7 separate regions of the Mus musculus genome follow, and regions 2, 3, 4, 5, 6 and 7 are each reported to be linked to region 1. Evidence: microRNA targets listed by miRTarBase, many of them from high-throughput screens and not tested one by one. Region 1 holds a microRNA gene; each other region holds the end of a gene's coding sequence.

What was found. Region 1 holds the annotated microRNA mmu-miR-3089-5p (UGAGUUCAGGGACAGCGUGUCU, at 1,641-1,662, opposite strand). A microRNA usually pairs through its seed, bases 2 to 8, with sites in the 3' UTR of a target mRNA and lowers its output. Matches are read on the target gene's strand: a 7mer-m8 pairs with bases 2 to 8, a 7mer-A1 pairs with bases 2 to 7 and ends in A, and an 8mer does both.
Region 2: the mRNA of Gdf3 is a reported target of mmu-miR-3089-5p. Seed matches in the 3' UTR shown: 8mer at 3,567-3,574, 7mer-A1 at 3,054-3,060 and 7mer-A1 at 3,025-3,031.
Region 3: the mRNA of Isg20l2 is a reported target of mmu-miR-3089-5p. Seed matches in the 3' UTR shown: 7mer-A1 at 1,393-1,399.
Region 4: the mRNA of Glt8d1 is a reported target of mmu-miR-3089-5p. Seed matches in the 3' UTR shown: 7mer-A1 at 3,232-3,238 and 8mer at 3,203-3,210.
Region 5: miRTarBase lists Slc38a6 as a target of mmu-miR-3089-5p. Seed matches in the 3' UTR shown: 8mer at 1,134-1,141.
Region 6: the mRNA of Noc3l is a reported target of mmu-miR-3089-5p. Seed matches in the 3' UTR shown: 8mer at 1,559-1,566.
Region 7: the mRNA of Mrpl17 is a reported target of mmu-miR-3089-5p. Seed matches in the 3' UTR shown: 7mer-A1 at 2,600-2,606.

The regions. Positions count from the first base shown.
Region 1 is chr2:30,718,819-30,722,883 of GRCm38, reverse strand. Mir3089 (microRNA 3089) reads right to left here and starts at 1,674; the gene lies at 1,591-1,674. It overlaps Gm14488 (a long non-coding RNA gene), which reads left to right and starts at 1,697. Exons shown (of 4, transcript XR_866106.3): 1 at 1,697-2,911; 2 at 3,014-3,178. Gm39782 (a long non-coding RNA gene) reads left to right here. Exons shown (of 3, transcript XR_866107.2): 3 at 171-1,321.
Region 2 is chr6:122,602,486-122,606,550 of GRCm38, forward strand. Gdf3 (growth differentiation factor 3) reads right to left here. Exons shown (of 2, transcript NM_008108.5): 2 at 2,918-4,065. The coding sequence ends at 3,821. It also overlaps a transcript of Apobec1 not described here. Among named protein-coding and RNA genes, the nearest start is that of Apobec1, 2.1 kb to the left of the region's middle.
Region 3 is chr3:87,938,742-87,942,806 of GRCm38, forward strand. Isg20l2 (interferon stimulated exonuclease gene 20-like 2) reads left to right here. Exons shown (of 4, transcript NM_177663.4): 3 at 1-33; 4 at 497-1,945. The coding sequence ends at 610. Among named protein-coding and RNA genes, the nearest start is that of Crabp2, 7.9 kb to the right of the region's middle.
Region 4 is chr14:31,011,301-31,015,365 of GRCm38, reverse strand. Glt8d1 (glycosyltransferase 8 domain containing 1) reads right to left here. Exons shown (of 10, transcript NM_029626.2): 10 at 2,925-3,881. The coding sequence ends at 3,691. Gnl3 (guanine nucleotide binding protein-like 3 (nucleolar)) reads left to right here. Exons shown (of 15, transcript NM_153547.6): 7 at 1-91; 8 at 340-460; 9 at 689-776; 10 at 1,139-1,313; 11 at 1,571-1,713; 12 at 1,801-1,937; 13 at 2,042-2,199; 14 at 2,577-2,643; 15 at 2,732-2,933. The coding sequence ends at 2,814. It overlaps Snord69 (small nucleolar RNA, C/D box 69), which reads left to right and starts at 1,015; the gene lies at 1,015-1,073. It overlaps LOC115488429 (a small nucleolar RNA gene), which reads left to right and starts at 140; the gene lies at 140-218.
Region 5 is chr12:73,351,688-73,355,752 of GRCm38, forward strand. It overlaps Slc38a6 (solute carrier family 38, member 6), which reads left to right. Exons shown (of 16, transcript NM_001037717.3): 14 at 64-208; 15 at 392-486; 16 at 770-2,358. The coding sequence ends at 850. Among named protein-coding and RNA genes, the nearest start is that of Gm40442, 49 kb to the right of the region's middle.
Region 6 is chr19:38,785,848-38,789,912 of GRCm38, reverse strand. It overlaps Noc3l (NOC3 like DNA replication regulator), which reads left to right. Exons shown (of 21, transcript NM_021315.2): 21 at 216-1,785. The coding sequence ends at 368. Among named protein-coding and RNA genes, the nearest start is that of Noc3l, 31 kb to the left of the region's middle.
Region 7 is chr7:105,806,014-105,810,078 of GRCm38, reverse strand. It overlaps Mrpl17 (mitochondrial ribosomal protein L17), which reads left to right. Exons shown (of 3, transcript NM_025301.2): 3 at 1-4,065. The coding sequence ends at 222. Among named protein-coding and RNA genes, the nearest start is that of Mrpl17, 3.0 kb to the left of the region's middle.

The DNA.
Region 1 (4,065 bases):
AGCGGGCCAGGGCTGAGCAGATTCTGGTTGTTATTGTTGCTGTCTGTGGCACCCTGAGTGCCTGCCCCAACACCCTCTAGGAGACTCTGGGGAATTTTCCAGAGCTTCAGGGCTGAGTTGAGCACAGATCTCAGAACTCCTAATGTTTGTTTCTTGTTCTCCTTCCCCAGCCTCCTGAAAACACGGATCCCCATCAGCCTAAAGTGGTCTGGGAAATGCTTGGTCTTCCTTACACTGATTCCTGTGTCTTTTTGTTGGGCTTTGGGTTGGAAAACTCTAGAAGAACCTAGATCAAATTTTAGAATTGAACCCTGAGGGTCCAGGCTTAGCTCACCCAGCAAGGCAGCTTCCCTGGCCTATGCAGCACAGCCACCTGCCTTACGCTGAGCTCTGGCTCCTTCAGAGGCCTCTGGCATTACCAGTGCTTCTTGGACAGTGTCTTGTTTCTGAACTTTAGGCCACAAAATAGAACAGACTGGGGTGCCTTTGGACCCAAGGGTAGGAGGACAGAGCTGTACTCCCAACTGAATTAGGAGGCAGAAAGACTGGGGGGTGGGGGGTGGGCATGGCATCCACAGAGAGGCAGGGGTGTGGGAACCCTCTGAGGGTGCCGGGCAGGGGCTGTGGGCCAGGCCTGGGAGCCTCGGGGAGGCCGGCAGGCACAGAGAAGGAGGCCTCCTACCAGACACTGTCTAGACGCAGCAATTATTGTCAGCTCGGAACACCCAGGCTCTGCCTGTGCAGCTGAAAAGGAGCTTAACAAAGAGAGAGGGAGGAAGAAGAAAGCGGAGCAGAGCCGCTCTGAGCCTGCCTGCCCGCCTGCAGCCCGCGGCTCTTTCTCTGCTTGGGCTCCCCCCCTCTTTGTGTTCCACAGGCACTGTTGAGGGGACAGCTCCTCACAGCTCAGAGATGCCTGATGGGGACAGAGCAGGAGGTGCAGCTCTGGGGCCCTGGCCAACTCTTCTGAGCTAGGCTTCTCAGAGTGGATGCTGGGAAGTCTGGGTCTTGTCCACTTTAGAGGGCTCTAGCCTACACCCTTGTCATACTGATGGGGAGCCTTGGGTCACGGAATGACAGCCTGACACCTACCCTCCTCTGCTTCCAAGGAGCCAGGCACTTTGTAGATAGGGTTAGGGGTGGGGGCTCAGAGAACACAGTCAGCCGTGGGGTGGCTTCAGGTCTGTCCTTTAGATCTGGGCCTTATTCTTCTCACCCTTGGGAGGAGGTGAGAGGGCAGGGCCAGCATAGCTTTGATGGGAAGCCCACCCTCCCCCGCCAGGACAGGGTTTCTCTGTGCAGCCCTGGCTGTCTTGGAACTAACTCTGTAAACCAGGCTGACCTTGAACTCATAGAGACCCTCCTGCCTCTGCCTCTTGAGTGCTGGGATTAAAGGTGTGTGCCATCACTGCCTGGCTGGAAGACTGTTATTAGCCGTGGCAGGCCCTTCAGAGCTGGAAGATGAGCACTTTGGATTCCATATGTGTCCTAGAACCTTCCCCCTCCTCTCAGTTGCCATTCCCGAGACCCCCTTGGCGTTGGCAGCAGTGGTGCTCAGAGTGTAGGGGTGGAGCCTCAAGGCCCTGGGTTTCTGCAGCTAAAAACACAGCTCAGGATCAGCAGATGCTCAGACAGAGAAACTGAGACACGCTGTCCCTGAACTCAGTTGCAAGCCACCAGCTGTTCCCCTTATCTCCCTGTTCCAGGGCATCTGGGCAGGGGCTCTGCTCTCAGCCCAGTCTGTAGCTCTAACTCTACCCACTAGCTTAGGCTCATGGAAAGGACCTACTGTGTGCTCAACTCTGCTCTCCTCTTGCCAGCAGTTGGGGTTGGGGGCCGGGTGGGGAGTGACTTGGTGGGTGGGCACCTTCTACATCCTGTGGAGGTAATGAGCAGTCCCAACCTACTGCTGGGGAAAGGCCTGAAGCTGGTCAGGGCTCCAGAGTGACTGGGTAGGGGTAGCTGGGTCCCTCTCAATCCTTCTCAATTAGAGACAAGGCCCTCAGAGCAAGAAACATGCATACCTGCCCTTACATCACACCCGAGGCCTCTTGATCTGTCCCCAGGACCTTCCCAGGCTCCAGGCATCGGCCTGGCCTGCCCGAGGCTCAGCCCTGCTGGCCACACACTGTCTTGTCTGCTGTGTCTCCCAGTACTCAATTATAGGAACAGAACCCTCCTCTCTCCCTCTGCACCATTACCATAACAAACCTGATTCCCCTGCCTATACTGCAGACCCACCGGGATCAGCCGGTCCACCAGGATTCTAGCATATTCTGCAATGCCACTGCAGCTCCCTCAGCCCTCCCCACTGGGTCTTCCTTTCACCTGGCGCTCTGAGCCATCTCTACCAGACCCTCAAATATGCGAAGCTGCCAGCCTGCTCCTGTGAGTTGTCCCCTGCCTCCTGAACAGCACCAGCCCTCCCTGTCACATAGCCAGCCCAGACAGCTTTCTGATTCCTCCCGCATCTGCACTAGGCTGGTCTTCCACCATGGCACAAACCAAGCTTGAGTTCAGCCCCCAGTTCCTAGCCTCTGGGAGCTTTGGAGACCTGTTCTCTCTGCTCCATAAAAGCCTGCCAAACCTTCCAGAGGCAGGAATTGATAGACCACTTGGATCTGAGGCCTGAAGACTGCCAGTCCTGTCTTCCCTGGCTTCGCATTAGTTGAGTTAGTCATCCCAGTAGATCCTCATGCACCCTTCTCTAGGACACTTCTGACCCCTGCTGAGATCACACACACAGCCAGTCTGCCTAAGTCCCTGATATTTCAGCCTTCTTGGGGGCACCCAATGCATTTTTTATGGCTCGCCACGCCTGCGAGCCCTGTGGGCCAGCTGTCTCTGGCTTGTCTCACTCTGTGAACCCAGCTCCTGCTTCTGAGGTGCCTTCCCAGCCTGACACCACCTAGAGGTAGGAGAAGTGACTTGGGCCCACACCCCCCCCCCCCCCCCCCCCGTAAGTGAATCCCTCTCGGCCCAAGCACCAAGGCAACCTCTTTGTCCTCTTTCCCAGGGCCTCCATGCAGACTCCCAGGAGTCACCGTGAAGGCCAGAACAAGGCTGTGCCATTGTGCTGCCCACTGACCTGAGAGCACTCCCAGGAGCTGGAACTGCCTTGTGCCCAGTTCCTCCCTCAAGCCCCCATGCAACTAGGCCAGTCCACAAGGACAGGAGGATGGTAGGTCCAGCAGGGGTGGGTACCCCACATCTATTCCTCCTCCAGAATTGGCCCAGAGCGTTCCCCAACCCTTGCTGTGGGATATCTAAGCCTCATCTTCCTTCCTCCCTGCCCTGCCTGTCCTTTCCCTCCAAATATCTATCCCTCTCCTCTCCTCTCCTCTCCTCTCCTCTCCTCTCCTCTCCTCTCCTCTCCTCTCCTCTCCTCTCCTCTCCTCTCCTCTCCTCTCCTCTCTCTCCTCTCCTCTCCTTGTTCTCGCCTCTCCTCTCCTCTTTTTCTCTCCTCTCCTCTCTTTTCCTCGTCTTCTCTGAGTCCTCCCTGGGCCTCCTTCCTTTCTTCTTCCTGGGTTAAAAATAATCAACTTTCTGGGAAGCGGCAGTTCCCGCTGAGCCGCCCTCCCCACACACGGGAGCCCCTGAGAATAGCTTTCTGCGGCTCTCCACTGAACCCCTCCCTCCCTCCTCCCTCCTTCCCTCCGCCCCCTCCCCGCCGGCTGACTAATAAGCCGGGCAGCCGGCTCTGCCAGCTCGCTGCAAGGGCGTTAACTGCTTCGTGCCCGGGTGGCGTTCAGCATATAGCGACAACAGGAGGGTTGTAGGGCACCAGGCCACACGGAGCCGGAGCTCTGGGCCCGTAGTAGACGTTTAACTAACCCAGCTCTGCTAGGCCGAGTGGTTTGGTGAACTTTGTCATCTAACTACCGCTGCGAGCCTGCTGCTGCTGCGGCTGTTGTGTGGCTAGCTAGTTCCTAGCTTAGGAGGAAGGGGTCAGTGGGATCAGTCAGGAGAGGCACCCAAGGGTCGGGACCACGTGAAGGGTGTGACTGGCCTAGTGACTCCTTGGCCCCGGATTCTGGGAACCATTGCGACGGGGCAGAGGTCAAAGGC
Region 2 (4,065 bases), not on the chromosome of region 1:
CAGCTGCAGGCACAGTGCCAGTTTATCAGTTTTTGTTGTTATTATTATTGTTGTTGTTGTCCCGATTCGGCCGCTTCCCCCCACACCCCCCCCCGAAAATCCTTGAGATGGGTAAATACTAAGAGGTGAACAACCAGCAGATGAACTTTGGCCCGTTTTTCCAGATATAAAACACAGAGCAACATTCAAACTAAATGAAACCACAGACACAGACTGACAGACATGGGCAATCCAGCATGCCCAGAACCAGAAGCAAATGTTCCCTCAGTGGAAACCAGTGAAAAGCGGGCCGTCTCCTGTCCTCCTCTGACCCTCGGAGCAGTGCTGCGTCCACTTTCTCCTTTCTTGGGTCCTAGAGAGGCTCCACCAGAAAGCAGAATACAGGCTCACCTCCGGGAGTCCAGATGACTGAAAAACAGTCCGAGGTGCTGCTAATTCAGCTTAAGGGCTCAAGTAGGTTAGCGTTTGGTATCCAAATGTTAGGGTGTAAAAATCTAAAAATAAATAAATAAATAAGTCTGCCAAGTTATCCCACAAATTAGGATCTAGGGATAGAAGTCTTCCCTAGGAACTTGTCTTTGTGGTACATTCATCCTGTTCCTACTGTTTGGTTTATTCGACTGTGGTGGGAGACTTGCCTAGCAATCATGTCTCAACTTGCCAGACAGGATGTCAGTTCAACACTGAGGTCTTGGGAACTTAAACTTATTTGACCTCTGTTCAAAATGAAAGTTTTATTCAAAATGGCTTCAGTCTGGTCCCTTCTCTTTCTTTCTTTCTTTCTTTCTTTCTTTCTTTCTTTCTTTCTTTCTTTCTTTCTTTCTTTCTTTCTTTCTTCCTTCCTTCCTTCCTTCCTTTCTTTTTTTCTTCCTTCCTTCCTTCCTTCCTTTCTTTTTTTCTTTCTTTCTCCCCCCCCACCCCGCCAGACAGGGTTTCTCTGTAGCCCTGGCTGTCCTGGAACTCACTCTATAGACCAGGCTGGCTCAAACTCAGAAATCCACCTGCCTCTGCCTCCTGAGTGCTGGGATTAAAGGTGTGGGCCACCACACCAATATCCTTTCAACAAGGTTTTTACTATTTTTCTCTTCTTTTCTTCTTTTTTTCTCCTACTTTTTGAGACAAGATTTCTTTATGTGGCTCTGGCTGTCTATAACTCTCTATATAGACCACGCTAGCCTCAACTCAGAGTTCCACCTGCCTCTGCCTCCTGAGTGCTGGGATTAAAGGTGTGGGCCACCCCACCAATATCCTTTCAACAAGGTTTTTACTATTTTTCTCTCCTCTTCTTTTCTTTTCTTTTCTTCTTCTTTTCTCCTACTTTTTGAGACAAGATTTCTTTATGTGGCTCTGGCTGTCTATAACTCTCTATATAGACCACGCTAGCCTCAACTCAGAGTTCCACCTACCTCTGTCTCCCAAGTGCTGGGATTACAGATGTATAAAAAGAATGATTTTTGAACTAGGCGATAGTGGTGCACGCCTTTAATCCCAGCACATGGGAGGCAGAAGCAGGCGGATCTCTGAGTTCAAGACCAGCATAGCCTACTGAGAGAATTCCAGGATGGCCAGGACTACACAGAAACCCTGTCTCACATAAACAAAAAGTCCAGATGTGTGTGTGTGTGTGTGTGTGTGTGTGTGTGTGTGTGTGTACAGAAGAGAGTGTAGGACCCCTCAGAACCAAAGTGAGAGGTGTTTGCAGAACACCAGGCTTGTTACATAGTTGCTGGGTTCTGAACTCCAGTGCACAAAATTTAGCCACAGTCACCTCTTACCTGCTGAGCCTTCTCTCCAGCCTCCCTTTTAATAACTTTTATAGAAAGGTCCTGCTTTGCTTTACTATTGCTGTGTCAAACAAACAAACACAGCCTGGAGAAGAAAGGACTTCTTTCATCTTACACCCCAGAGAACAATTCATCACTGAGAGAAGTCAGAGCAGAAACTTAAAAGAGGAACAGGAAGCAGAAACTGAAGGGGAGAGACCATGGAGAAATGCTGAATACTGGCTTTTCCCTCATGGTTTGCTCAACCTGCTTTTCTTTCTTCTTTTCTTCCTTATTTTATTTATTTATTTATTTTATTTTTAGGTGTGTGTGTGTGTGTGTGTGTGAGATTTACTGGCACTAGAGTACATGGGAGCTGGGAACTGAACTCTGGTTTTCTGCAAGAGCAGCGCATGCTCTTAACTACTGAGCCATCTCTCTAGCCTCTCAGCTTTCTTCTTATACACCCCAGGTCCACCTGCTCAGGGGTAGCACTGCCCAGAGTGGGCTGGGCCCTCTCACATCAATCAACCATCAATAAGATGTCCTCAGACATAACCCGAATGCCGGTCTGATCAAGGCAATTCCCCATTGAGTCTCCCTGAGATAATAACTCTGGGCTGTGCCAAGCTGTCAGCTCTAGCTAATTAGAAGAAGAAAGAATTGGGCTGGAAAGACAGCTCAGTGGTTAAGAGCAATGGCTGCTCTCCCAGGGTCAGGTTCCAGCATCCACCTGGCAGCTCACAACTGTCTATAACTCCTGTTCCAAGGGATTTGACACCCTGTACAGACATATATACAGTCAAAACACCAATGCACATAAAATAGAATTATTTCTATATATAATTTTATAATACATATATTTATATATATAAATTATTTTTTAAAAAATAGGGGGCTGGAGAGATGGCTCAGAGGTTAAAAGCACTGACTGCTCTTCCAGAGGTCCTTAGTTCAATTCCCAGCAACCACATGGTAGGTTACAACCATCTATAATGGGATCTGATGCCCTCTTCTGGTGTGTCTGAAGACAGCTACAGTGTACTTATATACAAAAAATAAATAAATAATTCCTTTAAAAAAAGGATAGGAAAGTATCAAACACGTGTACACATAATCCAATATCTATTCAAACACCTTAACAAAATCTTGCTGTAATAATTCAGTTGAAGTAAATTTATTAAGAAAACCCCAGGAAGCCAGACGGTGGTGGCGCACACCTTTAATCCCAGCACTTGGGAGGCAGAGGCAGGCAGATTTCTGAGTTCGAGGCCAGCCTGGTCTACGGAGTGAGTTCCAGGACTGCCAGGATTACACAGAAAAAAGAACTGGCTCAGCAGTAAGAGCGCTGCCTGCTCTTGTGCAGGACCCACTTGAGCATCCACATGGAGGAGACGCATGATCACCTGTAACTTCAGGGGATCTGACTCCCTCTTCTGGCCGCCACGGGTTCCTGCATGTACACCGTGCACTTACACAAGCACCCACACATAAAACAAACAAGTGAACATTTTTAAAGCTCACGTAAATTTTTCTATGTTATATTTTCTCAAAATAATTTTAAAATCTTAAGATATACAATTGGATATAATATGGTACAGGGCAGGCCTTTAATTCTAGGATTCAGGAAGCAGAGGCAGTTTGATCTCTTGTGCGTTTGAGGTTAGCCTGGTCTACATAGTTATAGGACAGCCTGGTATAGAGACCATGTTTCCTGTTTCAAAAAAAAAAATTTTTTTTTTGGTCCTGGTGGCACACAGCTGTAATCCCAGCACACAGGAGGTAGAGGAAAGAGAATTGCCATGAGTTCAAGGCCAGCAAAGATGTATAATAAGACCTTGTTTCAAACAAGAACAAGAAGCCCAGCTACTATGCATAATGAGCACAAATTAAGTAAGCTCACCAAGGGGTCCATAGTCATACACAAATGTGTGTAATTGTGGGGCTCATGAACCATGATGACAGACATGTCCGATTCAAGAGAGCATAAGCCAAAGGTGGGGTGGTAGTTTTATTAAAGGATTTACCCTAAGCACACTCCTAGCCTAGTCCCGAGACTACCCACACCCACACTCATCGACTACCATGTCTTCATAATGTCGGAGAATGACGTTCTTATCACTATCCTGATAGAGCATGGAGATGGGCGAGAGCTTGGTGGGGACACAGACAGCCTTGGGGACCTTGGGGTCAGCCATATGCATCAGAGCCTGCATGAAAGCATAATTGGAACTATTTAAATACGTGGTCATTGAGAAGGGGCACTCTCCATGACAGTAATTTGCCATGAACCCCTTAGGGG
Region 3 (4,065 bases), not on the chromosome of region 1:
CTCACCAAGAAGCTCCTGAGTCGGGACATCCAGGTAACTTCTCTCTAAGTGCCCCCACCAAAGGTGACCCGGTAGCCCTGTCTGCAAGGAGAAATAATAAATCCTGGGTGCTTTATAGACCGTGCCAGATGGTACAGTGGGAAAGAAGAGCACTCAGCATTTCACATGCTCAGCAGTCAAGGACATGGCCACAGAATATGGAGCTCTGGGTACATGTCACACAGAGAACATTTAAGAAAGAAGACCCAGACAGTCTGTTTGACCTGAAATGTCCTGCCTCTGCAGAGCTTAATAGTAAGATACATATGCATCGTCACTCAAATGAGCAGGCCTTCTGGGAGTTGAAACTGAAATGTGCTAGGGAGGAGGGCCCTAGTAGACTTGTGACTACAACTCATAAACTATAGAAGAGAAAGTATAGACAACTAGCGGGATGCAGGGAGTCCAGTTGTCTGGGAAAAGCAACAGTTCTCGTCTTCATGTTCTTTTCCTTTAGGTTGGAAATACTGGACATTCCTCGGTGGAAGATGCCCAGGCCACAATGGAGCTGTACAAGTTGGTTGAAGTTGAATGGGAACAGCACCTGGCCCAGAATCCTCCAGAAAATTAGCAATCCCAGGGAGACACATGCAGTAGACCAACCCACAGTTCTTCCAGCTTCTCACCTGCAGAAGCTAGAATCACTGGGGAGAGGGGCTTGGCCAGAGGCTTAATACCCATTGAAATTTCATCTCAGCTATTTTGGTCACTGTGTGGTTAAGTGTCTCATGGAAGAGGAGAGCTTTCATGTTAAACCCACCTCTAGGTCAGGCAGGTGGCTCAGACCTGTAATCCCAGATACTTGGGAGGCTGAAACAGGTTATAGATGTAAAGTCTGCCTGGACTACAGAATTAATTCTAGGTCAGTGAGACCCTGTCCTAACATAAAAAGAGGGCCAGGGGTAAAGCCCAGCGCTAGAACACTTACCTAGCATGCATAAACCACTAGGTACAGTCTCCAGCAGTGGGGTGGGGGAGGGTAGAAGGAATGGAATACAAAGTCATGAACCATAACTGTTTACTTCTTTAGAGTGCTAACCACATGTCACAGGGTGCTTGTGCCAGTCAGCCTTGACTTTGAGGAAGCAAGGCACACCAGGGAAAACAGTGTCCCACACTACCTTCTCTATGGGACACATGTCATAGATATGTCTCCTTTTGGTGGGGAGTAGGGTAAAGGAATTGAGTTGCCAGGGCTGGCCTCAAACACTTGGGCTCAGATGACTTCTTCCTCAGGCCCGAGAGTAGCTGGGACTACAGGTGTGTGTTCACCACTGTGCCTAGTTCTTTTATTTTTTTTATTTTTTTTGGTTTTTCGAGACAGGGTTTCTCTGTATGGCCCTGGCTGTCCTGGAACTCACTCTGTAGACCACGCTGGCCTCAAACTCAGAAATCCCCCTGCCTCTGCCTCCCGAGTGCTGGGATCAAAGGTGTTGCGCCACCACGCCCAGCATGGTTCTTTTAATTTTATGGGATTTTTTGTTCTAAAGTAAATAGCAGTATCTTTTCACTTTCAGACAAGTCCTGATTGGAGCTCAGCATAATGGTCTGTAATCTCAGGACTCTGGAGGCCAAGGCAGGGAGATCAAAAGTTTAAGACCAATCTGAGTGCATAGAAAAAGCTCTGGGTCAGAGAAGTAGAAACAGAGAAGGAAAGAATTTTGTGGTTGCTTGCTGAATTTTATAGCCACGTTACATAGCACTGACTAACAGTGTTTACTTAATTTAGGTTCCACTTAGTTTAAAAAGAATTTGTATAGTTTTAATCGTCTTTCAGCCTTTTCAGCCTTTCACCTTGCAAATGCAGCCTCTTAGTTCATACGATTCTTTTTATGGATTTTTATAATAGAAAACTGGTGGGTTTGTTTTTTGTTTTTTTTTACATATAAAGATCTATTTTTATTTTACTTATGTGTATGTGTGTGCTTTCAGGGTCCAGGAGAGGGGTCAGATCCTGCAGAACTAAAGCTTCAGGCCGTTGTGAGTCTGGGAAGTGGGTGCTGGCGGGGAGGCGGAGATCCTCTAGGAGGAGCCACCTCTCCAGCTCACGTAGTGGATTCTTTATGGCTTTGTATTAAATAAGATCTCTTCGTGTGGAAGGCTGTGTAGTCCTGTGGGGATTTCTAGGCTCTCTGGATGGGTCACTGGAGCCCTTGTTTGCTGGATGATTTGAAGCTCTGGTAAGCCTTTGTCACACATAGGGCCTTAGCTTTCCTGTCACACTTGAAGTGACACCCTAAGCCGCGCAGGGTAATGTGGTGGAGTGAGTCCATGTACATAAGGGAGGAAGGGAGCTTGGTGACGCAGCCTGCCAGCTCTTCCTTAGTGGTACACACCGTTGTTTCCTGAAGGTGAGTCACGGGTCTGCAGCATGGTTGTCCCTACTCTGTGGAGCCGTGTCCCTGTCCCTTCACGATTTCATTTTATCATTTACTTCTTGGAGTTTTAATACCAGATCCTGAGTTCTACCCTTGGTTTATATGGGTGGTAATTGATTATGGGGGTGAGGGTGGCTGTGGTAAGACTGCCATCTCCGTGAGAGCTTCACTGTGCCCTGCCCTATACTGAGCCCTTGAGCTGCACTGTGTCACTCAAAGCTGGTTGGGATTTTTTTTGCCTCTATGTATAACTGCACTACTTGTGTGCCTGGTGCCCATGGAGGCCATTGGGGTGTATCAGATCCCCTGGAACTGGGTTTACAGACAGTTGTAAGATCTCACATGGGTACAGGGAATCAAACCCAGGTCTCTTGCAAAAGCAGCCAGTGCTCTTAACCACCGGGCCATTTCTCCATCCCCTCAAGGCAGTATTCTAACTTAACAGTTGAGGAGATTGAGGTTAACCGAAAGGCAAGGTGTCTCTCCCAGGCCAAGGATGTAGAGGTTGCATTGGCACTCAGGTTTGGTGAGTAGGCCTGAAGTCCCTGCCTTGCTGTTAGCATCTGAGTAGTATCTGGCAGAATATGGGCACTACACCCAGCGTCTGTTCTGTACTGGGTGGTGTGTTAGATACTGGAAATGGAAATCTTTGGCCCTGAAGAAGAAAAGCTAAGAAACCTCACTGAGCCACACATTTGCTGTCTAGAGCCAAGATTTAATGCTGGTTAATAAGATGAGCAGGTGTGTATTTTTGAAAGACAATGCTGTCTGCTGTAGGGAATCTGCATTGGGGAATGGCCAAGAGGTGAGCCATCTGTGGAGTGGGAGGAGAATGTGAGTATCAGAGTAGGTGACATTAGCAGGATCAGGAGGTTGGGACAAGAGAGGGATAGATGTGTTGAATACTTCAACAAAGCCCAGGGGAGGATTCACCAACAAAGGGTTTGAGAAAGGTAAGGTGGGTAGTTTCTGGCTTCCTGAGCAACTGGATAGCCAGCTGGGTAGTTGAGACAAGTTTAGCAGATGGAAAGAGACCTGAGCCTAGAACTAAGGTTTTTAGTCAACATTGCAAGGCTGGGTTTTGGAGGCTCATATCTGTAATCTTGGCTCTCGTGAGGTAGAGATAGGAAGATCATAAGGTTTGGGGTTTTGAAGTGGTCTCACTATGGAGTCTCGGTGAGTTGAAGGCCAGCTTGGTCTACAGAGTGAGTTCCAGGGCAGCCAAAGCAATGAAGAGAGACCTTGTCTCTAACAAAACACCCACCATCAACCTCTGGCCTCCACATGTGTGCACAGGCACATATGTGTGCACTATGAACACGTAGGCACACATACACAAATTGAATGGGCCCCACATACCTTCAGTGCTCCAGAGTGAGACTCTAGGGTAGACATAGATCAGAAGACTTGTGCATGCATAATGTTAGCCTGAGTAAGAGGTTTCTCAGTCCAGGGCCTGGGATCCTAGCCCAACATTTCTGAGTAGCAAGCTGCACAATAATCTCTGCCAGAGCAGCTAGTTCCCCAAAGGCCGTGCCCTATGATTACACCCTATGGAATCCTGCTCAGTTAAGTGTCTTAGTTTGGGTTACTACTGCTATGATGAAACCACAGCCAAGAGCAAATTGGGGGAAGAAAAGGGTTCATT
Region 4 (4,065 bases), not on the chromosome of region 1:
TTTGGAGAACTGGCTAAATTATTTGAATAAAGAATTGCCAACCGTGGTGTTCAAAGCCTCAACAAACTTAAAGAACAGAAAGACATTCAAGGTATGCTGTTGTTAGTGGTGGGGGGAAATACTGGTTTCTTCAGATCTGTGATGATTGAAATGTGATGAGTACACAAATGTTGATGAAAGTGAAAAACATGAAGATCCAACTCTGATTTCATTAAAAATTGCAAAGGTAGTGGAGGCCAGCAGTTTTTCTGAAAGCTGGACTCTCTCTGCTGTCATACTTTTTGTATTCCACCTGGTGATGTTTACCAGAATTAAAATTGCTATATTTTATGTTTAAAGATAAAAAAGAAGAAAGTTGTTCCATTCCAAAGCAAAATCTGCTGTGGCAAGGAAGCCCTTTGGAAGCTTCTTGGAGATTTTCAGCAGTCCTGTGGAAAGGATATTCAAGTTGGAGTGATTGGTGCGTTTCATTCAGCTTCTTTACCACATAAGTACTTAGTCAGGGTCTTGACATTGTGAGTGTGAATAGCTTTGTTAAAACTGACAGGGTTTCTCAAATGTTAACTCTGGCTCGCCTTGCCAAAACATGGCCTTCTGAGAGTTCAGTGGAAACACTTGCCTGGTGTGGGCAAGGCAACTATTAGAAAATGTGTTTCTGAGCATAATCCGAGTTTATGTTTATTTGTAGGTTTCCCAAATGTGGGGAAAAGCAGTGTCATTAATAGCTTAAAACAAGAATGGATTTGCAATGTTGGGATTTCCATGGGACTTACAAGGTAAATGGAACTGTCAGTGATCAGAAAGAAATCAGTAGCTGGTGCTGGGCTAAGAGCATTCCTTGGAAAGGCCCAGAAAGGCTGAGGAAAGCTCCCTCAGACAAATAGTGTTGGACCTAGTCTTGGAAAAATAAGTTAATAACCTTACTGTGCCATATATGCAAACATGAATATGTTTGGATATGTAGTGCACAGTATCTTACAGTGTGTAAGGTTTCACATAAACATGAAGCAGTGATGACAGATTGGATCTGACTTAACTGCTGTGCTGAGTTTGTTCAATCCAACCCTGAGCTTCATGTTGTCTTGTCCTCAGATGGACAGTGTCATTGTTAATTCCATGGCTTTTTTTTTTTTTTAAGGAGCATGCAGATTGTCCCTTTAGACAAGCAGATCACAATCATAGACAGTCCATGCCTAATTATCTCACCTTGTAACTCCCCCACTGCACTTGCCCTTCGGAGTCCAGCAAGCATTGAGGAACTAAGACCGCTGGAGGCTGCCAGTGCCATTCTGTCTCAGGCTGATAATGAACAGGTAAAAGAACTGCTCTTTATCTGTATAGATTAGGGACAGGTCATCTTTTATTTTATTTATTTTTTTAAAGATTTATTTATTAATATAAGTACACTGTAGCTGTCTTCAGACACTCCAGAAGAGGGAGTCAGATCTTGTTACAGATGGTTGTGAGCCACCATATGGTTGCTGGGATTTGAACTCTGGACCTTCACAAGAGCAGTCAGGTGCTCTTACCCACTGAGCCATCTCACCAGCCCCCATCTTTTATTTTTAAGGTGGTGTTAAAATATACTGTCCCTGAGTATAAGGATTCTCTGCATTTTTTTACTAAACTTGCTCAAAGAAGAGGTCTGCACCAAAAAGGTGGAAGCCCAAATGTGGAAAGTGCTGCTAAGCTGGTGTGGTCTGAGTGGACAGGGTAAGGTGTCTTTTTATGGGCATTTTGGAAGACAACTTAGAATGAAGAGATTGGCCTGTGTTTGACACATCTTGTCTTTAATGTTAGTGCCTCATTAGGTTACTATTGCCATCCCCCTGCATCCTGGAATCATTCTCTGCATTTTAATGAGAATATTGCAGCAGTCATGAAGAAGGGCTTTAATCTAGAAGAACTAGAAAAGAATAATGCACACAGCATACAAGGTGAAATTCTGTTTTTTTCTGTTACACAAATGGATATAACATAATAGTGAATGACGACAGAATGCTAGAGGTCTTATCTGTTAACCTGAGTTTATTTCCTCTAGTCCTCAAGGGCCCTCATTTAACTAATAGAATCCTTTTTCGGTCTTCGGGCCTGACAAATGGAATACTAGACGAGAAGGACATAGTCGAAGAATCACCAAGACAGACAGAAGACAAACAGGATGCTGACGATCAAGAAAATGGTAGTGGTGAAAGAAATGTAAGTTTTGTTTCTCGGGTTAAAGCTGAAATAAAATTTCTAGCATTACAGTGTAGAAAGAATGAGGGTCAAAGGTAGAAACATTTTAATAAGAAGGGACCCCTGAACTGTTAACTTTTGGTTTTTCGAGACAGGGTTTCTCTGTGTAGGCCTGGCTGTCCTGGAACTCACTCTGTAGACCAGACTGGCCTCAAACTCAGAAATCCCCCTGCCTCTGCCTCCCAAGTGCTGGGATTAAAGGTGTGCGCCACTATGCCTGGCTACTGTTAACATTTTACAAGTGCTTAGTTAGGGGTGCCACCAAGACTGATCTATCCTACCTACATAGGAGTAATGAGAAGTTATGTGCTATTTCATATCAATTTCTTGGTCCACAGGCAGAGATCTCAGATGTGGCCCCTGTAGAAGAGACCAGGGAGCTGTCACCTGAGCAATCAACAGCAGGTGAGTCTGGGAAAGACTTATAAAAAAGCAGCTTGAACACAATTGCCCTTAATTTCTTATGTAAAATGTCACTTTTCCTCTGCTGCAGGTAAGCCATCTGACGGGTCGTCTGCCTTGGATAGAGCGAGTCAAGAGGATGAAACCTATGACTTCACCACAGATTATATATAACCGCCACACACTAACGTGCTCTCTGTACGCTGTGTAGTTTAGTGTATGATATAAACTGTACATCTTGTAAATATGTATCATGTTATAAATTCAAAATAAAATACAAGTATTTGCTTGCATGTGTTTAAGATTTATTTATAGCCAGGTATGGTGGTACCCAGCACTCAGAAGGACCTCTTTGAGTAAACAAAAAATCTGGGGGGGAAAAAAAGATTAGGAAAACATTGGGTCTCCTGGAAATAGAATGATATAGTTGTGACCTGATGTGGGGGAATTGAACTCCGGAAGAACAGCGGTGTTTACATTCTTAAAAATATGGGGAAGTTGCTGGGCGTGATGGTGCATGCCTTTAATCCCAGCACTCAGGAGGCAGAGGCAGATGGATTTCTGAGTTCAAGGCCAGCCTGGTCTACAAAGTGAGTTCCAGGACAGCCAGGGCTACACAGAGAAACCCTGTCTCAAAAAAAGGGGGGGGGGGAGCAAATAGATCTATTGGAAAATGTAGATTTTATTTACAAACCAGGCCACAAGGTACAAAGAAAAATGGGGAAGCAAATAGGTCTATTGGAAAATGTAGATTTTATTTACAAACCAGGCCACAAGGTACAAAACTAAAACCAAACAGCAGTTCCTACCTACAGCAGCTAGATGCAGTTAAATGCTGGAGTTCTCTGTCCTTCAAGTCAGCAGTATAGTAAAGCAAACATTTGGTAAGGCAGATGGAGCCGTGGTAGTCATCTGGATATCTATGACTTCTACCCAGCTGAAGTGTTTTCTGTGGTTGGTATAGAGAAACTCAAGCCCTACAACTGTTACCTTCCCACATAGTGTGTCTTCCAGAGTTTCCTGAGTGACGCAATTAGCTTAAATTGTAGTTCACTTTATGTTTGAGGTATCCATATGTCTTCGGATTAAACTGAATTTTCCTGTTGGGTCTGGAATATACCACTTTTCCCAAACATCAGCATATGAAGCAGTTCTTCCCCAAGGCTTGAAGTGACCATTCCAGTGAAGTAACTTGGCAGCTTTTACAAACTGGGGTGAGTACCGTTTTCCAGCACTGGAACCTTAAATAAAAAGTGCCAAATTAAAACAATGCCATGCTAAGCTGTAGAAACCTAAAGGGAAATACTGATCATAGTCCATCTTGGAGGAGGTGTTTGTTCTTAGATACTAATTCCTGGTTAGTGTAAGTCAGTGGATACATGGCTCTGGCTAACCTTAAAACTTGCTGTACTCTTGCTGCCTTTG
Region 5 (4,065 bases), not on the chromosome of region 1:
TCTAAGCAAGTGCTGTGCCCTCCATCCTCCACCCTTCGCCTGACCTCCTTCCCCTGCTCTTAGGCCAGGAAAGCTTTAATGATGATCCTGTTCTCCAATTACCCGTTCTCCTGGATCCGACATTCCCTGACCACAGCAGCGCTCAACGCCATCATCGTGGTGCTCGCCATCTATGTCCCGGACATTAGAAATGTATTTGGTGTGGTTGGTAAGTTTCCCACTTTAAAAAAACCCATGTAGTAAAGGGGACGGGGATGTTTCATCAGTGGAAGAGCGTCTCCCAGCACGGGTGGGCTCCTCAGGTTTGGTCTCCAGCCCCACAAAAGCCAGAGGGGTAATAAAGTCATCACTCTCTCAGCTGAGCTCACACGGCCTGTTTCTTCCTCTCCAGGCGCCAGCACATCGACATGCTTGATTTTTGTGTTCCCAGGGTTATTTTATCTTAAACTCAGCCGAGAGGACTTCCTCTCCTGGAAAAAGCTTGGGGTAGGTTGTTTCCAACTGTTTAAAAAGGCTTCTATTTTAAGGAATAGTGTGTTTATTACTGTATCTAAGAAGACAGAATATCTTAATTTACAAAGTTCATTTTAGAGTCTGGCATGATGGCTCATGCTTGTAATCCCAGCTCTTAGGGGATTGAGGCAGGAGGATTGCTGAGTGTTCAAGGCTAGCCTGAGCCACAGCTTGAGACCCCATGTACTGACACTGAATGAAAGTCCGCAGTGGAGAGGACGGAGGCTCACACTCAGCATCTCTTCTGTCTCCACAGGCTTTGTTCCTGCTCCTCACAGGCGCTGTGGTCGGAAGCTTCAGTTTAGTGCTCATCATTTTTGACTGGGTCAACAAATGAAAAAGTTTTTATTATGAAGACTAACTTACCTCTCTATAAACAAGAAGGGATCATTGTGGAAGGTGCCATATATGAAAATTACACTCAGGAAAACTGTTAATAGGGAAGCCGGACAGAGCAGCAATAGGAATTTAGCCATTTTAATTTTAACCAAAATTAGAAATACTCAAAATACTTGAAATGTTCTTAAATGTGCAGAGTCACTCTTTTGTTTGGAAGTTTCATTTTCTGTGTTTTGTTCTGTGTCTGAAGCAGGACCTAGCTGTGTAGACCAAGCTGGCCTTGAACTCACAGCAGTCTGCTATTGGGATTTGGTTCTAAGACAAAGGTCTTAATTTGGTTCCCAAAGCCTGGCTTCCAGGCCTGAGGGTCCCTGTCCTCAGCTGGCTTCAATTGATAATTTACAAAAAAAAAAAAAATTGCCAATGGCTGGACAGAAAAATGGAGGTGGGACTTTTAGATTGTACGGGCAAGGGACAGAGAGGGGGAGAGAAGAATCGCCATGATTGAGGGGGAAAGGGATCAGATTTAAGAGCTGCAGGAGAAAGTTATCCAGCAATGTAGGTTGAAAGGGAAAGCAGCCCTGGGGGTTGGGGGTGGGGTGGGTGGGGCTGCTGCCCAATAAGTAACTGGGCAGCACTCGGGAGGCAGAGGCAGGCGGATTTCTGAGTTCGAGGCCAGCCTGGTCTACAAAGTGAGTTCCAGGACAGCCAGGGCTATACAGAGAAACCCTGTCTCGAAAAACAAAAACAAACAAACAAACAAAACACACACACACACACACACACACACACACACACACACACACACACACACACAAAATAAAACAAAAAACCCATAGATTTAGAAGGTGTTAAGCCAGGAATACCAGAGGGAAATGTATGCTAGCCTCGGAGAGGACTAGAAGTGCCCAGCCATTGAGCTAGTTAAGGCATGTCAGAATCAGCTGGAATGTAGACTCATTTGAGAATCCAGATAGCTCCTGGGCAGGCGCAGCTTGAGTGGGACTTGCCAGGAGCCAAAGCGGGTTAACCAATCACCGCTACAGACTGCCTGCTGCTGCTCCTGCCAAGTGCTGGGGTTAGGAACTCTGCCACCATCCTGGCACATGCCTGGCATCTGTGACTTAAAAAAAAAAGTAGCCTTTATTTTTTTTAGAGTAGTTGTGCATTTCCATACGTATTGAGCAAATGAACTGAAAGATTCTATGTGACTTCTTACTCCAACTCTGTAGCTTTCCTGCTATGAATGAATGCCTTGTGTCAGTGTAGCACGTGTTACACCCAGGGATGCTAAAGTCCAAGGTTGACATTAAAGTTTCTCTTGGCCACCACTGATTTTCCTACCAGAATGTCATGATTGGGATCATGTAGGACTGAGTGTCATGTCCAGTCCTGAGTGATGCCCCATTATATGGCTGTATCATGTTTGTTGATCCACTCACCTCATGGAAGACCTTTCTACTACTTCCAGGTTTTGCCAGCCATCAATAAAAGCACTAAAAATGCTGTTTGTATGCTGGTTTTTTTTTACCTGGTCATGTTTTCATTTGGGGGTGGGGGTGGGGTAAATGCCAAGGAGCATATGTGAAGGTATATTTAGTTTTATAAGAAACTGCCAAACTGTGTTCCAAAGCAGTGGTAACATCTTGCACCATCACCAGCAATGAGTGAGTGGCCTGTGATCACATATCCTCACTGGCATTTGGGGTTATTACTGTAGGCTGGTGCGTTCTCGCCAATTTAATGGCGTCTCTGTTTTGAGATTCCCTAACGGCATGATATAGACATTGCACATCTGTGACCTCTGCATATTTTCTTAGATAAGTGTCTAATTCTTGCCCATTTTTAAGTTGGGTTGTTTGCTCATTGTTCAGTTTTATATCTGTGTGTGTGTGTGTTGGATGCTTTTGTGCGGTTAAAAGTTCTCCAGGCCTCAGATTGTCATTATTATATGTGATATTATTCTTGGAAAAGAGACAGATATTGATGGTCCTTCTCATTCAGTGTTTAGAAATTAGTAGAAATTGTAAAACACTGCATTTTGCCCATTGCCACGATGCCCAGTTGGAAACTTGAATCTCAGGCTTTCTGCCATGAGAGTTCTGTGTAAAGGGCCCCCATGTTTGGCAGCCTGCCAGAGCCAGGGTGCCTCAGTCAAAGGCCCTGCCGCAGCTGACCTGTAAAGCAGGGAGTCTCATGTAAAGTAAGAATTTGCATATATGGAAATACACACTTTTGCAGGTGTCCTCTTGCCTTCCCCTTAGGAAAGAGGCTAAAAATTGGGTAACAGCGCTTCCCTTTGGAAAAGATCAAAGAGAACATTGACAACTTGGGTGTAATGGGGAGAGGCCAGGATTTGGGTTGGGATGGGGAGAGACGGGCTGGGTTTGGATCTTAATGAAACGACTCTTAACCTCCATGCTTCTACTTTGAACTCTAGGAAAATGAATTAATACCCATACTTTAAGGACTGTGTGGGGAAGGTTAAATAACCTTTGATAGATAGATGCAGACAAACTCTTTTTTACTCTTTCTTACTACTGTTTGTCCCTTTGCTTGGATAGGTCCCTTCTGGAGAGCAGTAAAGTGGAATGCCTTTCTACCCAAGGGTCTTGGCTTTTTCACCTTCTGTCCTGCATGGCTTTACCTTCTGAGTCCCTTTAGCCTTCACCCCCGAGGAGCTGGCCCTGGAAGCAGAGGTCAGTGCTCTCCCACAGTTCCACGCCAGCTGTGTGCTTCTCCTGCTTACGTCATTCTGAAGCTGGCCACATAGCGTGCAAGCCTGGCCCCTCTCAGCAGCTTCAGGTGAGAGTTCGTCGATTAACGAGCTCCTTGCCCCCTCTTTTTTTTTTTTTTCTGTTTATGAAATAATGCTCATAGGTGTTCAGCTGCTTAAATAAATCTTAACTCTAGTAATACCAAAATAGCCCTAAATCTACAACAGATGCAGGGATGCCCCCGGGGGCAAATGTTAAGTGTGGCGACAGCTGGGCATCAATTAATACTGTGTCACCTGTTCCTAAGACAGTGCCCTGGGAGGTTTGGCAAGAGACAAATATCCTTTGTAACACTGCACAGAATTGAGTTACTACCACGGTGGTGGAGGTGGCCCACTTTCCTTTAACCTTCTGTCCTGCCGGGTTGCTTGCTTGAGTCACATTTTCTGTGAGTTTGGAGGAAGCCGATGAGAAGGCTGGCAAGAACCGTGACCCC
Region 6 (4,065 bases), not on the chromosome of region 1:
ATGAGCTCTAGCTGTTCTAGAACTCACTGTGTGGGCCAGGCTGGCCTTGAACTCACAGGATGTACCCATCTGTACCTTCTGTATTGTCACTGCATGCAGCCCCATAGACTCTGTTCCCGTGGTTGGTGTTCACTGGCAATGGTTTTGGCTTTGCTCAGATTGGTTATTACTTACAATGTGTGTGGCTTTAACTATTAATTTTAACTTTTTTTCAGGATAAATTTTTACCAGGAGACTCATTTTTGAATGAAGATTTAAATCAACTAATCAAAAGATACTGTAATGAAGCTGCTCCTGAGACACCGCTGGATTTCGCCAAGTGTTTGGAAAGCTCATCCCGGCAGTACAGAGTGAATGGACTGTCTTAGATATCTGCATGTGCATGGCAGAGACACAAGGATATGTGAGGGCCTGTTTCTGTTTGTACAAGGAAGACTTCCTAAGAATGATTATTTGAGAACTGGAGCAGGGCCACAGAAGACCCTGCTCATTGGCTTGCTTTTCATGCCTTGCTCGGCCTGCCTTTTTATACAGTCCACACCAACTTGTCCAGGAATGGCACTGCCCATCAGTCATGAAATCTACAAATGCCCTGCAGACGTGCCATAGTCTAGTCTGTGGAGGCAGTCCTTCAGTTGAGATTTCCTCTGCTCAGGTTACTCCAGTTAAGTAGACAAAACCTAAACAAGACAGCTATTAAATTCTCTTTATAACTAAAAAAATATTGTTATTGCAGCACCATAGTTGAAAGCAAATAAAATATTTTGTGGGTTTTTTTTTAACCTTCATGGTTTTTTTTTTTTATTTGATTTAATTTGATTTGAATTTTTTATGAATTTATTTACTTATTCACTTTACATCCCCATCGTAGATCCCTTTCCTTCCAGTCCCCCTCCCCCCATGACTCCTCCCTCCCACCCCCTCCCTGTCATTTCTAAAGGAATGAAGGTTCCCCCCTGGGTATCTACCCACCCTGGCACCTCAAGTCACTACAGGACTAGGTACATCCTCTTTTAGTGAGTTCAGACAAGACAGCCCAGGTAGGAGAACAGGGTCCACGGGCAGGCAACAGAGTCAGGGTAGGACCAGCTCCGGTTGTTGGGGGATCCGATGAAGACCAGCCTGTACATCTGCTACATATGGGGGGAGGGCTAGGTTCAGCCCTCTGTGCTCTTTGGTTGGTGGTTCAGTCTCTGGGAGCCCCCAATTTTGTGAATTTTTTGATAAATAAGTTAAAGTTATACTCTTGTTCATTGGCTCTTGTTGAATGACACAAGGAATGACCAAATCTGACCTTTAAGGAGGAATGAGTGCTCTCATTGCTAGTGTGAGAGAGAGTATGAGTCAGAATCTAGAGTCTTTGAAGTTGGGTTAACTTATTACCTGAGAGTGATAGGGGAAAATTGCTCAGTAAGATGAAAGGTCCAAGATTTCCATTGTGCCATAGGAATATCGGTTCCTGTCCAACCAGGAAAGTGTTTTTCTCTTAAATTCTTTGTTGTTGTTGTTTTGTTTTGTTTTCTTTTTTGAGACAGGGTTTTGTAGACCAGGCTGACCTTGAACTCAGAAATCCACCTGCCTCTGCCTCCCAAGTGCTGGGATTAAAGACGTGCGCCACCACCGCCCACCTTAAATTCTTACAGATAAAAACTGTATATGTTTATAAATAGTTATAAAGAACTATTTTATATAATAGCTATTATCATTGTAGAAATGACTTACAAATACAAAATGTGTATGTAAATACTTTCTGCTATTAACTGAATAAAGTAGCTTCGATTTTTACTTCCTAGTCTTACGAGGTTTTGTTTGTTTTTTATTTTAGTGAAAAGCAGCTCAGCTAAATAGACTTAGTTCAGTGCCATAGAAACCAGTCATTCTGGGACTCAAGAGTTCTTTCCTCATAAAAATGTGAAAGCAGAAAATCCCTCCACCCAGAAGCGTCAGGGATGGTGACATTTTTTTCGTAATTAAGTTGGGCACGTGGTATGTGGGCAGAGAAGAGCCGCACAGTTACTGGAGGAGAGAGCAGTGGGGGAACAGTTACCAGCTGGATTTGAATTTGAGGGGATTCTTATGTGTGAGTTCTGGAAGTAAGTCTTTTTCTCTCCTTTTTTTTCTTTCTGAGACAGAGGCTCACTATAGACTCTGGGCTGCTCTGGAACTCAGATCTGCCTACCAGGGATTAAAGCCATGCCCAGCCTAAAAATATTTCTGAAGGCCTATTTTTAAGGCTTTATTGTTTTTTGTTTTGAAACAGGGTCTCTCCCTATAATCCTAGCAGTCCTGGAACTCCCTATGTAGACCAGACTGGTCTTGAACTCCCAGAGAGGCTCTTGACTCTGCCTCCTCCTACACCCAGTTAAGGTTTGATTATTGATGATGAGAAAACGTATGGTTCAGCATATACATACTTTCTTTAACCCCACTATTTGAATAAGAAATTCTAAGAATGTTAGAAATATTTGCATATACAACCAAAAGATCTGTCCATATGTTGGAAATCAATTATTTTCTAACACCGATGCATTCATATTTTACTTCATCAGCATCAATTGTATATAAGTGAAAAGTCAGTGAAAATAGCTAATTGACAGGATATTTCATTACTGTACTAAACCTTGTCACATTTGGACCATAAATCTATACAGTTAGCATTTCAATAATGTGAATATGTTGAACATTACTTTTCTTATATAGCCTTATATTAATGTTTTCTTTGTGGAGCAAGTATTATAGTTGTTAATAATCAAAAGCATATATATATGTATATATATATATATGTGTGTGTGTGTGTGTGTATCTCTATATATAGGTATATATAGGTATGTATAGAGATACACACACACACACACACACACACACACCCCTTGAGGGTTATATTAAGCTACAGCCTTAATTTTTTGAAGACAGATCTTGTGTACCTATTATACGACGCACTTAAAAGTGAAGTTTGATAGTAGGAGTAAAACAGCCTTGGTGCTTCATGGTCTTTGATGCTAAGTCAGGTAATTCACGCTACTTAAAAAGTGAGGCATTACCCAGTTCAGTGTCAGAATGAATTATTTCCAAGATCAGAGGCTGTAATCCGAAATTAAGCACAGAACGAGTTCAGTCAAAGAGGTGTCAAGTATCTTGGTAATGGAGGTTCAGCCATTTGTTTATCATACTCTCGAGTTAGAAGTCTCTGGTTTGTGGTTCCTTTTAGGAAGAGATCCCAGAGCACATGGGAGGGGTAAGAAAGGTCCAGACTTTGTCTAAGACGTTGCTGTCTGATCACTTGGGACCTGTGCGTTCGCCTTTTCTGGCCTTTTGTGAGAGAAGCGTCTGTAAAGGGGTTAAAAGTGCATCTGTGATCTCTTACCCAGGGGCTGTGTCTTACACTGCCAAATATAAGATTAAAAAAAAAAATCTCCAAAACCTTGTTCTTTATTGGCAGGGAAGCTTTAAATGTGGTTTAGAGTTAATTCTATTTTACTGCAACAAAGCTAACCCTTACTCCTTTCAGAACCCAGTCTTGGGCATCTGCAGGTATACTGGGAGGGGACAGAGAGAGAGGAAGATAAGTTTTAAAGAGAAACTTGGAGATGGGAAGCCATTATGAAAACAGGTTTTGAGTCCAGATTCCATTTTGATCACCCGGACACTCTTAACTCATGCTTGTGCTGTGGATGACATGTGAAGGTCTTACCTCAGGAGGGCATTACCATCCGATAGCATCCTTACTGCCCCCAGATTTGCCCCCAGTACCCCCATTCCCAGACACTCCTTAGTATTCTAACCAATTAATGAGTTGTAAGTGGACAGCTGACTGAGAAGAACAGAGTGTCTTCACCTTCCTCCTGAGTATCATGCTGGCTTCTTTAATCCTTTATTGCCAGGTAATTTTTGTTTACAAGTTGAGCTGCCAACTTTGACATGGGTTCACATGTAGAAGGTGCAAAGTCCTTGTGCACGCAGGGAAACCAAGAAAGTTAAACATGCAGGCTTGTCTCTTCAAAGGAAAGGAGAAGTGTACCTGTGTTCTACCCAGAATTCTGGGAATGGGTGTTATTTACAACCTGG
Region 7 (4,065 bases), not on the chromosome of region 1:
TACACAAGAATGCTACAGATCCCGAATCGGAAGGAGCAAGATCGGGCCAAGATGGCGGTGATAGAATATAAAGGGAACTACCTCCCTCCCCTGCCTCTGCCTCACAGAGACAGCAACCTTACTCTCCTAAACCAGCTGCTCCTGGGACTGCAGCAGGACCTGCACCATAACCAGGACGCAAGCCTCCACAGCTCCTGTACAGTTCAAACACCAAAGACTTAACTGGAGCTGGAGAGTGGTGCATAGGTGTGGTGCCCGTGTTCGTGGGTCTTGGAGCTCGTGTAGTGTGTGAGGCCTGGAAGTAGCATTGTAAAGCCCCCTCATAATGAGACCCAGACCTCCCTGCTGACTCACACGATCCTCTTTGCACAGAAGATAAAAGTCTTAATATGAATATAAGATATTGACTTTCTTGTCCTTCCCTAGGATTTATGGAAAGTAAGAGGCATCCAGATGCTCAGCCTCCTAAGACAGTAAATTCACAACTTAGGTTCTAAATTCTAGGTCTAGTTTTGCTTGTTTGTTGGAGGGGAGGGGATCTTGCTGTGTAATCCAGACTATATCCACCATGCAGCAGTCCTCCTGTCCCTGTGTTCCCAAGTGTTCACCACCACACAGTGCCAGTTTGCTTTGGTTTTGTTTTTTCTGAGACAGTTTCTTTGACTGTCTTAGAACTCTGTTTGTAGACCAGGTTGGCCTTGAACTAAGCGATCCACCTGCCTCTGCCTCCTCAGTACTAGGATTAAAGGTATGGGGCACTACCTCCTGGCTCAGTTTGCTTATCTCAACACTAATTTAGATGGGCCCTGTACCTCTTGATTCCAAACCATCTTCCTATGGTGACTGGCTGACGTCCAGCATAGAGACCCACCGTTGGAATTCCTTTTTTGCTTTTATAAGTTATACATGAGAATCTTTATGAATCCTATGAGACTAGGTTTCACCTTGGCATCTTCATACATATCTACCAATGTCTTTTGACCATGCTTACCACCACATGCATGCACCCTATTGTCCTGCCTATTTCAACTAGTCCCCCTTCCACTTGATGTCTTTTTATGTGTGTGATTATGTCCTGGCGAGTTTCATTAGTCCTGCTTACAGGAGCATGTGTGTGTCTTACCAATGGCTGTACCACTGTCTGTCCATCCACAAAGGAGGGTGCAGCCGCCTGAGCTTCTAACCCCCTTCTTAACAGGATTTTGACAGGCTACTATGAGAGCAAGCATTCAGTCCCAAGAGATTGCTTCCTGATAACTAGCTGTGTGAGCCTCTGTACAGGAATCTTCAAATAACATGGTACCCCTAAAACTGAGAATTGTTTCTAGGCAAGGTCACATTTGTTTCACTCAATGTCTGAATGGGTTTTGAATGTGGACTCAAATAGATGTATCACCACCCTGATCATAGATAGGGCTGTAGGCATCTGCCAGGATGTTGGCCTTCCGGATAAGTTCCTTCCTCTTAGAGGGTGTGAAGAGGAAGGTTGATAGAGAGTGATGCATTAGAAAGTTAAGCCTGCTGGGAATTTCCTGGAAGCTTTTGTTGCCAAAAGTGGACCTCTGTGGGAACCCAGAAAGAGGAAATCCTGTTTCAGAATGGCCAGGGTATGTGAGAAGCATGGAGCTTATTTATATCCACTAAATATGGGATATGACCCATCCTGGCTGCTGTTCTGTATGTTCAGAGACTTGACCAGGGAGTCATGGAAAGAAGTTCTCCTGAACAATTAGTGCAGCACCTGAAGGTAGAAGGTCACTGTGGAAGCAGAAAGACATTAGCTTCAGTGACACTATTCTAAGACTCTTTGCCCTACAGCTGCTTACACTAAATCACCTGGTCCCGGCAGAGCTGTCACTCTTCCTTCTGCATAGAACTTGACATGTTTTTTGTAAATCTTTATCCCTTTTCCTATCTTTTGAGCATTTACAAGTTAGATGCCTGAGTCATGACTTGTTCTAGGAAAAGCCCTTCCCTTAAAACCAAATCTTGGAAGACTTTGCAACAGGTAAAATATGAAAGGGCTCTCAGATTTTTTTTTGAACACCCACCATTTGGAGCTTTAATATTTCCCTAAATGTTTTATACTTCTTTATTGAGTAGGGAGGGTACATGCATCTCAGAATGCAGATAGAGGCCAGAGGACAGCTTTCCCAAGTTCTTCCAACCTGTGGTTCCTAGGTATGGAAGACAGGTCATCAGACTTAGTAGCAAGTGCCTTCTGAGCTGTATCTCTACCCCTTCTATTAGAAGCATCCGAATCTCCAGCATCACCTTACATACTAGAGATTGCATACTTCAAGCATATTTGCAGTAAATCTGACCCTGGCTAAAAGTGAAGCATCAGCAGTCAAGGAGCTCACAGTTGTACAGGGCACTACATATCTAATAATCTGGCCCCCCAAAGTTGACAAATCCTAAGACATCTACTGAAGGCTTTGTTAATCTGCCTGTATTTGTAAATAACTGCCTTTGAGTAGACATTGCCTAAATACCAAGCCAAGCCCTTCTCATCGCTTCGAAAGAGTGGTTCTCCACATCGAGTTCCAGATTTTGATCTACACAAACATGGATCCTCTGTGTAGTCTTGGCTGTCCTGGAACTCACTCTGTAGGCTAGGCTGGCCTTGAACTTAGAGATCTTCCTGCCTCTGCCTCCCTTGTGCTGAGATTGAAGGTACATATTGCCATACTCATGGTAAGGATTGGGGGGGAGGGTTTCAATTCTTTACAATAAGGTTGACAAACTAATGTCCCTCACCCACCCAAAAAACCTAACACACTTACTTAAAAGTTTAGCACTATGAACCCAATACCTACCTATCATTTTTAAACCGAGTAACTGTATCCCTGTATCTTAAGTGGAGTCATGTCCTGCTTTATCTCCATTAGCAAATATGCAATTGTTCCTAGTGGGATGTCCCAGGCACAAAGTTGTCATGATAGGAATGTGGTCATCTTAATTGCCTGATAGATTTCCAGTTTTTTATGGGACAAAGTCCAGATTTCTTACACTGCCTACTAATCAAGCATCTGCTTGATGCTCCACTACGTGGTGCCTCTCAAGCTCATGCTGTAGAAGCATAGAACACACCTTATTTGGGTGGTTTTTCTGGCACAGGTCCCTTTACACTTTGTTCACACAGTCCCTGTCATCCAGAGGCTCCACTTTGACCTACATAACTTGTACACAAACTTTCACGTGGCTCTTCTGATCATCCCCATTCCTAAACTCATAACTTTGTCACACAAGATATGCCTGCTGTGTTTATGTAGTACACTGAAATACAACATTGCTTTATAGTTCCCTATGGTATAGGGCATTAGACTGAAGACAACAATGAAAATAGATTAAAAACTAACAAGTTAAAGTGCTTCCAAACTGCAATCCAAGTTGTAATGAAGTGTGTTTGAGAGAGATTACTGCCATTTGAGACTGTCATTTCTTCTTATTGCTACCAAAAGCAGTCTAAAACATCAAGCTTTGTACTACTAAAATTAGTGTTCCTTCCCCCACCCCCAAAAAAAATTTTTTTTTAACTAGGATTCAGATAAAGATAAAAAAGCATTTTGCATCAGAACATGTGGCGGTCAATATGTATATAAATTGCATATCCTCACAAGACATTTTCCTTCACATTTGCATTACCTTTAACAATGCTGCTTCCAGAACCGGCGGAATGACTCGATAAAATGCCCACCTCTTGAGCATCAGGTCCTGAAGTGACATCCCAAGCCACACAAAAAGCTAGGTGTGGGGCCAGGAAGATGGTTCATTCCGTAAAGATGGTGCCAAGCCTGATAACTTGACTCCTAGAATCCACATAGTAGAAAAAAAATAACCCCCACAACTGACTACACATGCTGTGGCACACACTACTGATAGAAATTTAAACAAACAAAAACAGAAGCCAGGTGTGATGGTATATCCTGTTATCCCAGTGCTGGGCATTCAGGGTAGAGATATGCAGATCTTAGAAGCTCACTGGCCAGCCAACTTAGCCAAACTGGTAAATTCTAGGCTCAGGAAGAAATCCTATCTCAAAAAATCCTGAGGAGGCTGACC